Regions from separate parts of the Mus musculus genome. Here all the other regions are reported to be linked to region 1. The links are microRNA targets in miRTarBase. Many come from high-throughput screens and were not tested one by one. Region 1 holds a microRNA gene; each other region holds the end of a gene's coding sequence.

Region 1 (4,066 bases):
CTCCACTGCGCTTTGGGAAGGATGTTGATGGGAAGTGTCACAGCCTAACGGCGTCGTATGTGCGGGCACAGTACCAGCAGGATGCCAGCCTGCCTCACTGCCGCTTCTATGAGGTACAGGGAAGAGCCTAGAACTGGTGAGCAGGGTGGGGGCCACGCCAGAGCCGCTCTCCCTGACCCTGCCACCCTCTGGCCTTGCCCCAGGAATTTGACATCCATGGACGCCAGATGCCGCTCCCTGCGGGCATCTACAACCTGGATGACCTGAAGGCCCTAGGGCAGCGCCAGGGCTGGTGCCCCTACTTCCTGGCTCGATACTCGGTGAAGAGTTGTTTTGTTTCCTTATGAGGCAGGATCTCATTTGTAGCCCAGCTGGCCTCAAACTTGGAATAACCCTGCCTCAGGTTCTCAGCTGTCAGGGGTATAGGCATGAGCCACCGTGCCCATCCTTCTGCTGGCCCATCTGTCTACTTGACTCTGTGCTGTTACGTCTTTATGTCTGTTGTCTGGATCGTCTGTCTCCGTCCTAGTATCTCTGCTTTCTTGTGCCTTGCCTGGGTGGTCCTTGATGTGTTTATAAAAAGATAAAGGGGGAGATATGTTCTATGGAGGTGTGGGGAAAGGGGTGCCTCTGCAGGCTCATGCTGAGGCGTCCCTTACCCCTGAGGGACCAGCCACCACACGACAGTATAGTATAGAATAGGGTTTATTCAGGGCATGGGGAAGGGTGTCAAGAGGATAGTAGAGGCAGAGAAAGGCGGGGGAGGGAGGGAGGGGGGGGTTGCCCATGAGCACATGGAGAGAGATGGGGGAAGGGACTAGAGGATAGAGCAGGGGCAGGAAGGCAGAGCAAAGCAAGAAAGCAAGGGGGGGGGGGCAAGAAGCCCCTTTTATAGTGATTCAGGCACACCTGGCTATTGCCGTGTAACTGTGAGGTGGAGCTTAGACAAAAGGCTAACAGTCCTGTCCATCTTTCCACCCGTCGTTGTGTCTGTCTTTGTGGCACCTCTGTGTACCTGGGATAGAGTGGGTGTGGCGGGGGTAGCAGAGCCCAGGGCAACCTCTCCCTTCATGTGCCCAGATCCTGCATGCCAACGTGGTGGTTTACAGCTACCACTACCTCCTGGACCCCAAGATCGCAGACCTGGTATCCAAAGAGCTGGCTCGCAAGGCTGTTGTGGTCTTCGATGAAGCTCACAACATCGGTGAGGAGGGCGGGCATCAGGGTGTGCAGACAGTGGCAGCCCTCTGCCTCTGCCCCCAGGCCTGCCTGAGCCCGGCTTTCATCCCTTTGCTCTTTCCTCAGACAATGTCTGCATTGACTCCATGAGTGTCAACCTCACCCGCAGGACTCTGGACCGTTGCCAGAGCAACTTAGACACCCTACAGAAGACCGTGCTCAGGTGCCTGTCTGCTCCCACTGTTGTGTGTGCCTCAGTGCCCTGGGCACCTGCCTCATTCCAGCTCCTGTCCCATGTCCCCATCAGGATCAAGGAGACGGATGAGCAGCGGCTGCGGGATGAGTACCGGCGCCTGGTGGAGGGCCTGCGGGAGGCCAGTGTGGCCCGGGAGACAGATGCCCACCTGGCCAACCCTGTGCTGCCGGACGAGGTGCTGCAGGGTGAGCTACTCCCCACTCCCCCACCACCCAGCCCCTGCCCCGCACACGCACCCCTGTACCACCTGACTGGGTCTCCCTGCAGAGGCTGTGCCTGGCTCCATCCGTACGGCTGAGCACTTCCTGGGCTTTCTGCGGCGGCTGCTGGAGTATGTCAAGTGGCGTCTGCGCGTGCAGCATGTGGTGCAGGAGAGTCCACCTGCCTTTCTGAGCGGCCTGGCCCAGCGGGTGTGCATCCAGCGCAAGCCCCTCAGGTGCGGCCTGCACGGGGAACCACGGGCCCAAGCCTTGTTGCTGATGATAAAGGGGTCTGGACCATAGATAAGGCTAAGGGGCAGGTCAGAACTGGATGTGGAGGGCATCCATTGGACTGTGTGGTTGGCAGTGAGTGCCGCAGCCACGTGTCCCTATGTTGGGTGATGAGCAGGTGACACAGCCTTTGTGAGGCTAAGAAAGTATGTGGCTATTCCTCCTTGAGCGTTGGGCCCGTGACACTGGCTGGACAGAAACAGAGTGACTGCTAGCTGGGAGTCTTTTTTTTTTTTTTTTTGGTTTGGTTTTTTGAGACAGGGTTTCTCTGTGTAGCCCTGGCTGTCCTGGAACTCACTTTGTAGACCAGGCTGGCTTCGAACTCAGAAATCCGCCTGCCTCTGCCTCCCGAGTGCTGGGATTAAAGGCGTGCGCCACCACGCCGGGCTCTAGCCGGGAGTCTTAACAGGATATTGCGTGTGAGCAGTGAGCCTGTGCACTGTATGTGCTGTGCTCCAGCCTGGAGTGGTAGCTCTGGGGGTCTTCTACAGTATGGGGTAGCTTCACACAATGCCCAGGTGCCCAGGGAAACATGGTGAGAGTCGGGCCTGTTGCTGCTTCCCGCTCCTGACCCCGTTGCCTCTCAGGTTCTGTGCTGAACGCCTGCGCTCCCTGCTGCACACCCTGGAGATTGCCGACCTGGCCGACTTCTCCCCGCTCACACTCCTTGCTAACTTCGCCACTCTCGTCAGCACTTACGCCAAGGGTGAGCTCGCCTTTCTACTGGGGATCTGACAGCAGGACTTGGGGGTCAGCCACATGGGTGGGGCATTAGCAGGGGGCAAGACCATACAGAGTGCCTGAGTGAGGAGCCTCGTGGTCAGATTCTCGTGTTCAGAGAACAAGTGTGTGGGCTGTGCTGTGGCACTGACCAGAAGGACACTAGGGGTCACCTCACCATCAGTGGGGTGAGGAGTCCTCGTGTGTGACTGAGGGCACCAGGGAACCATGGCAGGTTCTGGGCAAGGGATGCACTTGGTGAGATTGTTGCTTTCGAGGTTCATGTAGCAGGAAGATGCAGAACTGTGGACAATGGGGACAGGAGAGTGTGCTGGGGAGAACTATGGGAGGAAGAGGCCAGGATGGAAAAGCATGGCGCTGGGCATGAAGCTCTCAAGGGAGGCAGATACAGACTGATGATCCACAGAGGCCTGCCTCCCAGGACCTTCTGGGTCCGTCACTTGGGTCCATCTGTCATGTTTCCTCTGTCCATGTGTTGTGTGCTGCCCCACCCCCCCACCCCCCCAGCTCCACACTGAGTTTTCAGGCTTATCCCTGGGGATTACTGCCGTAGCCAGGAAACCAGGTCAGCTGGCATCCTGCAGCTGGGCCAGCCTGGGCCTCGGAAGGAGGAGGCCCCCCCCATCAGCCCCACTGCAGGCTGTTGGCAGCTGCCTGCTTCCTTAAGCTTTCAGCACTCACCATGCCCCTTTCTTTGGCCTTTGTCTCTTCCTCCTCCCCCACCTACAACATCACAATCGGTAGAAGCCTCCTTGTCTACGCCTCCTATCACCTGCCTGAGTCCTTCAGCTTTCAGAAAGGCACCCAGCCCACCCTATGCGAGGCCTGCCCCTTCTCTATTCCAGCTGCGCCTGGGATCATTACTCTCTGGATAGCTGTCTCCCCTAGTACAAGGGAGCTCTTATGGGTGGGACTGAGGCTGTGTTGGTCACTGCTGTGTCCTTGGCAAGGGCTGGACACGTAAGACCCGATCATTTTTGCCAAGTGAAACAGAACCCATGAATGTATTCATTTGTTCAGTTAGCAAATGGGGCCAGGCCCAGCACTACTGAAACAGCCTCATCCTCCCCTTCCCGGAGTCACAGCCTGGGGGAGAATGAGGAGCAAAGATGGTTCCAGGTGACCCTGGGAAGTGGAGCGGTGCTGCAAGGAGCCATGGCACTGTCCTCTGGGGCAGGGATTCAGCCAAGTGGAAGCTGGCACAGCAGCTCAGGGCAAGGGGGCCCTCAGGTGTCTCACAGTGGGACTCTGGAATATGAACTATCCTTGTTTTTCTTGTCCTTGGTTGTGAAGTGTTATCCCAGTCATGGTACCCTGTGCTGGCAACAGAAAAAAACCAACAACAACAACAAAAAAAGCCAGTCAGGAAGGCACCCAAGGCCAGGTCCACCTGGTTACC
Region 2 (4,066 bases), not on the chromosome of region 1:
ATCCCTCCCCTCGATTCTACTAGCCCTTCAAAGCAGCACTGGGAAGGGCTGCCATGCCCACTGTGGATCAGCAAATGCAGATTGTATGCATCTATAGAGTAGAAAAACTTATTAAAATTAAGCATAATGGACTCTCCATAGTGTCCATGAGGAAAGTGTTAAGTCCTGTGGTCTGAGCAGCTTGAGGTGGGAGGACAAATGCAAGCTGGTGGTCACCTAGAACGCATGGCCCATTCTGCTTGGCAGGGGGCTAAAGAGCCCCTGGTACCCTGGACAGCTAGCACTGCTTTCCCATGGCAAAAAGTTTTTGTTTGTTTGGTTGGATTTGGTTTTTCAGGATAGGTTTCTTCTTTGTGTAAGAACAGCCCTGGCTGTCCTGGAACTCGCTTTGTAGACCAGGCTGGCCTCAAACTCAGAGATCCTCCTGCCTCTGCCTCCCAAATGCGGATTAGAGGCGTGTGCCACCATGCCCATGCCTAGTGTTCTCCCTGGCAAATTCAAAGGTGTTTAGGACACAGGTTATAATATTTTAAAGAGCAAATAAAGCCCAGGTGTGGTGGAATCCCAGCACTCTGGCAGTCAGAGGTCTCAAGTTCAAGGTCAGCTGGGAAACACAACGGTGCCCTACCTCAGACGAGCACAGTAAACCAAACCAAGAGGACTTAGCTATGGTAGAGAGGCTGCTGACCCCACCAGCATCCAGACCACTGTGTTTCCAAACAGGGATATTTCTCACAAATACTAAGTTTTTGTCCTGGTAACTTGGAAATGCAAACAGAACTGACCTATTGAGAGATGTTACATAGTGTCTTGTTTTTATTTTATGCATAAAGAGTGTTTTGCCAGCATGTCTACATAGCATGTGCATGTCTGGTGCTGACAGAGGCCAGAGAAAGGCATCTGATCCCCGGAATGGGAGTTACAAACGTCTGTGGCCTGGCTTATGGTTACTGGGACTTGCATCTGGAAGAGCGGCCAGTGCTCTTAATCACTGAACCATCTCTCCAGCCCCCTATGAAACATGTTAAACTTGAAATGACTTCATAGTCACTAAGAAGGTTTTTTTGTTTTGGAAGACAATGTTCTTACAGAAATAATCCACACAAGAAAACTATGTCATTCTAAACAGGGACAGGGCTTCCATTAGCTTCACGGTGGGGTAGAGGAAGAGACCGCTCTCTGTAAATGGTGTGAACTCACAGAGGACCCAACAGATCTGTGTCTGTGCACATCAGTCCGCCTGTTGTGGGACCAGCATCACGGCAGTGTCGACACAAACGAGGCTGGAGGAGTACAGTGTAATACACTCAGATACCTGCGGCCCTTCCTCCCCCATCCCAGCACACCGGACTACACGTGCTGCTGAGGCACTGGTACCAAACCTGGCACATAGTTCAAGATCAAGCTTATGCCACGGAGTCTCATGACCAATTAGTAATACAGGGGAGAGGTGAGGCCCACCTGCCACCATGAGATATAAGTACGTGTGTGTGTGTGTGTGTGTGTGTGTGTGTGTGTGTGCGCACGCACTAGTAAACAAAGGACATCAGACTGTGTTAGTACACGATTGTCTCTCACCCACATTATTTTACTTTCTTTATATGACAGTTTGGGGGCTGGAGACAAAACAGTTCTGACTTTGCAATCATGAAGATCCAAGTTAGGATCCCTGAACACACATGACACAAGGTGTCCTGAAAAGACTGATAATCCTAGCACCAAGGAACCAGATGGCCTCTTCTGTCCCACACAACATACACTTGAAGACACAGAGATTTACACACACAAAGTAATCCTTGAAAATAGAAAGTGTTGGTTTTTATCTACGAGACTGATTTCCTAATCCATTCATGAGTCTTAAATCATAGTTTCAAACAAAGTGATATACAACACTTACCTATTATGGAACATGTAGTATTTTGTTTTGTTTTAGTTTGAGTGTCAGTGTGTGTGTTGCTGAGGATCAAACACATCACCTCCTGTATGCTAGCCAAGCATTTGATTACTAAGCGATCTCTCCAGATCTTCTTTATGACGTTTGCTTGTAAGTGTCTTCATATATAAGTGAGGCTGGCCATCACCTCACTGTGTAGCCCAGGATGGTCTCAAACTTGAAACCCTCTTACCTCAGCCCCGTGAGTGAAGGGACTACAAACACGTGCAACCATAATCCAATGACACAAATTACTTATGTGTCTCCGGTTAATTAGTTTGGAATCATAAAATTGTTAAATTACATTTTTTGTATGTGTGTGTGTACATTCACATATCAAAGCACACATGTGGAAGTCAGAGGACAACTCTTAGGAGTCAGTTCTTCTATGGTGGCTCATGCGAGGGAGAAAACTGAGGTTAGTAAGCTTAGTGGCAGGCACCTCTGCCCACTGAGCCTTATGACAGGCCCAAGGAATTTAAATTTCTAAGAGAGAGAGATTTCAGTATAGTGGGTCTTGTTTTTTTTTTTAAACTCTCTTCCCTGGTATAGACAAGTGAAACCCCTGAAAATCATGATGAGTTTGCAAGGGAGTTCAAGTAAAAAGTACCCCTGGAGCCCAGCCAGCCTGCCCAGAGGCAGAGAGAGACTCTGGTATCAGTGCTGAAATGCAATCTCATTTCCCCTGTGCTAGAAGAAATAATTATGAGACTCTTGCGGCTAGAGAGAACCTTAATGTCAGATTCCGTTTCCTCTGTCAGATGATCAAAGTCAAATGGCATTTCCTTTACAAGTCATGAGACTAATTCTAGTCCGGTCCAAAACAGTTCCCTTCAACCAGAAGTACAATGCAAAATGAGTCACTAAGACGGTCACTTTCCTTATTCATCCTCTCTCTCTCCCTCTCTCTCTCTCTCTCTCTCTCTCTCTCACTCACTCACTCACTCACACACACACACACACACACACACACACACACACACACACACACACAAGTACAAACTTCTATTAGTTAAAGGAAAGCAGATGAAGAGAAACAGAAAACATATACATCTTAAGTTTCTTATGGGGCTGGAATGTAACTCAGTGGTATGGCTGCTCACCAGTATGTGCAAGGCGCTGAGTTCCAGCCCTGTACCAAGAAAAAGAATGCTGAATATATGTCCATCATATATTACACTTTAGTATTGTATTTTATAAGGCCATCATCAAGGTGCCAACTTCTAAGTCACAGATACCATAGCTCACTTGTGGATGGCACTAAGAGCCAGCGTCTTCTGGCTCAGGAGTCTGTTTTGCAGCTGCTGTGTGCCTTTGTACTGGCATCTGGAGGGTCCATTCCTGGTTCAAGGACAGAATCTTGAAGGCTGATGCTAGCTCTGATGGCTCTGGAAACAGGTGCTTTTCCTCATGAAAACATCCACTGTGGACTCAACAGACAGTACAGGAGGGTCAGCTCTGTGCGTCCCCCTCCCTTCTTCCAGCACCATCCGTGCCCGGCAGCCAAGGAGAAGGGAACACACAGGATCACGAGCGGATGCTGTGACAGTCTGTGAGAGGATACTCTCCATCCTAAATCACGAGGATGGCCCTGGTTCTAGGACTTTCCACCAGCAGCAGCAGAGAGCCTTCTCCAGCACTTATGGAGTCCTCTGGGATTTCCGGAAGTGCCACTGTCCTTTAAGTTCAGAAGGTGCTCTCCAGCAGGCAGTGGCAGCCACACCCCGTGGGACATACCTCCTGGGTCCGAAACCACTCCATCATGTGGCTCGTGTGGCCACCATGCCCACAGGTCAGGCAGAAGTTGGATGAACCCCGCACGGCCACATGGCAGATGGCACACTGGAAGGTGAAGCCTTTGCAGATGGCGCACTGGGTGCCACGGACCTCGCTCCGACAGTGACTGCAGTACACACCAAACTCTGCAAATGGGTGGACAGGGGCAAAGCAAGAGGAGACATTAGTTCTAATAAAAGCAGACTGAGTCTGGCTGGGTAAGGATACCGACTCCTCTCAGGACCCTGTCAGGCTCTGGCAGATCAGTCATTTCTTCCTTCTCTCTCATCCTCATGCATTTTCTTTCTCCCTGGTCAACCACGTAACGCAAAAACGTATCTACTGGGGCTGGGGAGA
Region 3 (4,066 bases), not on the chromosome of region 1:
TAGTAGCAAGGTAGTTTATCCCCTCTCACAGATGACTGGAGCCTGATAATGGGCACAAAAATGATAGTCACCATCAAGTTACTCTGATGCTGTGGGACATGCTACAGAAGACTGCTTCAGGTAAAAAGTGAGAGCTCACAGAACACAAAAGCTATTGGAAACGTTTTCTTTTTTCCTTTAAAAAATATTATAAAGTGAGACAAGTATTCTTTTTTTTTAACATTTTTTTTACACTCCAGATTTTATTCCTCTTGAGACAACTATTCTTTTATATATATTTATATATATATATAAAGACCTGGTATCAAATATTTTTTTCCGTTTAAACAGACTGAAGTGATTCACGTATTTTTAAGTATTTTAGAAGCCCTTCCTCCAAAACTCCCAGGGCAGTTTTCAGGTGCCCCTCCATCCTGGCATAGTCTGTGTGAACTAAATCCTAGGAGGATGTAGCACCACACACAGGGCCTTTACTCTTCTCCAGTGGTTGCAAACATTTACTCACCCAAACGCTGAGACGGCACAGTTTACAAACAGCAACAGCAATGCAACTGTAGCACTTGACACCCTTCTTTCTGTTTGCACCTTCATAAACACATGCAGTGTCTACTTTACCCTAAGTACCCCAACGTTTATGTCATAGAGAGACGTGGTTGAAAAGAAAAACTTCCTGTGCAGTTCATCCAATAAGGAGAATTTGTTAAGACTAAATATCAGCTCAAAAAATTTGAGGCAAGCTAAATATTAGCTACAGTCACAGAATACACAGCAACTTACTAGTTCGCAGTCCAGGTTGACTGACCAAAATGCTCCAGAAATCCAACTGTGAGTGGCACGACCTAGGTGAGAACTGCACAACTGGCCTCCTGTGCACACAGGTCAGTTAACTCTCAGACACACTAAAACACTGAGCACACCGTCCTTCAAGCTGTGTGCATAGGGCAGGCCCATGTGATACACAAAGGGATTTTTATAGCTCTAGCTGGGTTCCATCTCTATCTTCCCCCTCCCTGTTTGTATATACATATATATGTATAAAATATAGATTACATAATATATATGCAAATATTTCAAAACATTTTTTTAATCTAAAATCTGAAACACCGCTGGTCTCAGGCATTTAGGAAAAAGGAAACATAACTTTAACACCTGTACTGCACAGGTCCCATATTCAAGCTTCCTTAGAATTAAGCTGGTAAAGGAAAATAAATTTCAGATTGTAATTACATTTAAGCTGCTAAGTGTAGCTTACTCATTCTAGAATGCATTGACGTAACACCTCTCCCAGGTGACAGGAAAAGGCATTTGTAAGGACATGGTGTAAGTGGTTCAAAATGGTAAACCATTGGACAATAAGACAGCAAATTGTAAAATCACAGCAGCAACCTCCAACAAGAAACACACCCTTCCTTACCTACCTAAACCCGACATTGTTTATACATCAGTCAAATTTAATTTTACTTAAAAAAAAAAAAAGGAAAAGGAAACCAGACACGGAATACACATGATTCTCAGAGGTTGGGCTGCATAAATAACAACAGCTGTTCTAGGATGGTGTCAAGATTATAGCAAATGCAACCAATGCCCTGCCCTGGAGCTGGGGATGCAGCTCTGTGCTAGAGCCCTGGTCTCAATATCAAGCCCTGCAAAAACCAAAACTAAATCAATCAACAAAAAAACCTATCCCTCAAGATGTGAGGAACTAATAAAACAGCCTTTTAGGAGACCAAGTCCATCAATAAAAAAAAACCACATCTCTGGCATGTCTTATTTTTTGATTCAAGTTTTCATTGATACTCCCTCTTTATACAAAATTTGTATTTAATATGATAAACTCGGGTGTGAGTATCCAGACACAAGGTGTCATGGAGGACTGAGTTCTCAATGTTACGCAAAGACAGAACGGGTGGTGTGCAGAGGCAAGGCTGAGGACTTGTGGGGCAGGGTGAGGGGAGCTGAAACAGGCTTCTGTCTAGAAGGACAAAGTAGAGGGTGGAACAGTCCTGATCACTCTGTCAGGCAGCCCCTATCTACACTAAAGTGCTTCCAATGCAGGACTTGAAGCTTTCCCCAGAAAATTCAAGAGAACAGAAATCAGAAACTGCCCGATTGACTGGCTCTGAGAGGTTTCTTTTTCCTGACAGGTCAGACAGTAAATACTTTATGCTTTGTGGTAATGGTGGTTTTTTGTTTTTGGGGTTTTTTTTTTAACCTCTAAAATGCAAAACAATTCTTAGTATACTAGCTGCACAAAGGCAAGTAATCAAGCAAACACCAGCCTATGTCAAGCCAGAGAACAGCAGAGAGCAGTTCTCAGATGTTAGCCCTCCAATACAACCCCGCTCCCTGTTCTAAAGTACACATCAAACAGGAAATCAGAGGCTAGAAGGGTCAAAGATGGCTAACCTTCTAAGTGGCAGCTGGTGTCACTGAGGGAAAGTGACTTGCTTCCACCACAGAAGCAAATGCACTTCCCTGTGCCCTTCCACTTCTGACTCTGAACCGCCTCCTCAAATGCCCACGAGTTGGTTTTACCGGCTTCTTCACACTTTAATCATGTGCAAGTTCACACTAGATGGCAGGTGTGCTGTGCTCGAGCCTATAATCACAGCATCTGAGAGGCAGCAGCAGAGGGAAGAGAGTGGGGAGGAGGCGGGCAGAAGGGAAAACCTGTCTCAAACTCAGCCCCACCAAAACCAAAGAAACTTGTGCTACAGTGAGGACCATGAAGAACTGCTGATTTTATGTGACTCGCTCCTTTCCAGGGCATTACTGACAGTGATTTTACTGACAACCACTGAAATGTTTCAGATTTCCAGCTCGAATCCTGGCTTCCTTGTAAAAACAACTCCCTCCTGTGGCTCTACAAATGCTGTGGTGACACAAACCAGGGAGCGAGCAGACAAGGCACAAAAGAAAGTCCAGAGAAACTGCAGGAAGCTTAACTAAGTCTCATTAGGAGCTACGGAGCCTCCTTTCCAAGGCCATGGGTTCACATTACTACTGGGCCAGCACAGGGCTTTGGGGCTCTTCTGAGGCTGCTAGGGACTGGGGACCGTGTGGGACACTGGAGAACAGAGCACACCTAGTCTGTACTCCGGCCAACTCCTGTAACACAACACACAACACCCTACCCTGCTAGAAAGGCTCAACTGTGCCTTTCTGCCATTTTTCCTGTTACTACCCACTGTTCCTATGCCACTTCTTGGAGTAATTACATGTAAGTAAAGATCTCTCTCTCTCTCTCTCTCTCTCTCCCTCTCCCTCTTCCACCATTCCCTCCACTCCTCCTCGCCCCTTCTCTAAGTGTTAAAAGTAGAGCTAATTCTTTGTACTGGGGATTCTAGGAGTGTCCCACAAGCATATGTTTATTTCAAGTTTTTCTTTAGACCCAAACAGATACAGTTAGACTTAAAACAAGTCTCCCCCTCGATTTAAACTGCCGAGAAGACATTCCCTACTCTGAACCACAGAGTTCATGAGTGTCACCTTCTGAAACCCGTGGGACTTGTAACACCATACAGCAGATACACTTACAAAACATTACCGAATGTTACAGGATCAGGTATCATCTGGCGTAATAGATGGCGTTACGCACCAACGCCTGCAGTATCACAAACTCCACTAAATCTAGACGTGCATTCGTGTCTTCTTCCCTATATCTGTCCTCACTTACCAGGACTGAAAAACAAGCATGCTCTCTTTCACTGAAAAACATGAGAGGTAAAAAACAAACAAAACGTAACATTTCCTGACCAGTCCCTAGGGTTTCCTTCTATGCTGCTGTATTTAAAAGCTGCTCTTCTTGAAGTTTACATTTAAACTCCTTCCTGACTCCTTCGAGCAATGCAGGCTTAAAGATGACGTCCAGTGCGGTCATTGCCAGAGCCTTGGCTGTACGCAGCGTGTACAGCTGAGCCGCTTGTGATCCTGGGAGGTGAAGAAAACACATTGAAAACCTCTCTCTAGATCACAGTACATTTATTAGTTCCTCTGGTTACCTCTCAGTATCTAAACTGCCTCTCCACCCTCTGAGCACAACACCGTGTTTTCTGAAGTGATTATA

Evidence for each region. Region 1 holds the annotated microRNA mmu-miR-343 (UCUCCCUUCAUGUGCCCAGA, at 1,062-1,081, shown strand). A microRNA usually pairs through its seed, bases 2 to 8, with sites in the 3' UTR of a target mRNA and lowers its output. Matches are read on the target gene's strand: a 7mer-m8 pairs with bases 2 to 8, a 7mer-A1 pairs with bases 2 to 7 and ends in A, and an 8mer does both.
Region 2: the mRNA of Wdr59 is a reported target of mmu-miR-343. Seed matches in the 3' UTR shown: 7mer-m8 at 3,404-3,410 and 7mer-A1 at 2,831-2,837.
Region 3: the mRNA of Pm20d2 is a reported target of mmu-miR-343. Seed matches in the 3' UTR shown: 7mer-A1 at 3,260-3,266 and 7mer-A1 at 3,254-3,260.

What each region holds. Positions count from the first base shown.
Region 1 is chr7:19,385,627-19,389,692 of GRCm38, forward strand. Mir343 (microRNA 343) reads left to right here and starts at 1,017; the gene lies at 1,017-1,091. Ercc2 (excision repair cross-complementing rodent repair deficiency, complementation group 2) reads left to right here. Exons shown (of 23, transcript NM_007949.5): 6 at 1-113; 7 at 204-320; 8 at 1,081-1,204; 9 at 1,306-1,402; 10 at 1,487-1,620; 11 at 1,703-1,871; 12 at 2,514-2,632.
Region 2 is chr8:111,447,225-111,451,290 of GRCm38, forward strand. Wdr59 (WD repeat domain 59) reads right to left here. Exons shown (of 26, transcript NM_001170742.1): 26 at 1,560-3,855. The coding sequence ends at 3,620. Among named protein-coding and RNA genes, the nearest start is that of Gm24793, 31 kb to the left of the region's middle.
Region 3 is chr4:33,170,551-33,174,616 of GRCm38, forward strand. It overlaps Pm20d2 (peptidase M20 domain containing 2), which reads right to left. Exons shown (of 7, transcript NM_001034867.2): 7 at 1-3,930. The coding sequence ends at 3,776. Among named protein-coding and RNA genes, the nearest start is that of Pm20d2, 17 kb to the right of the region's middle.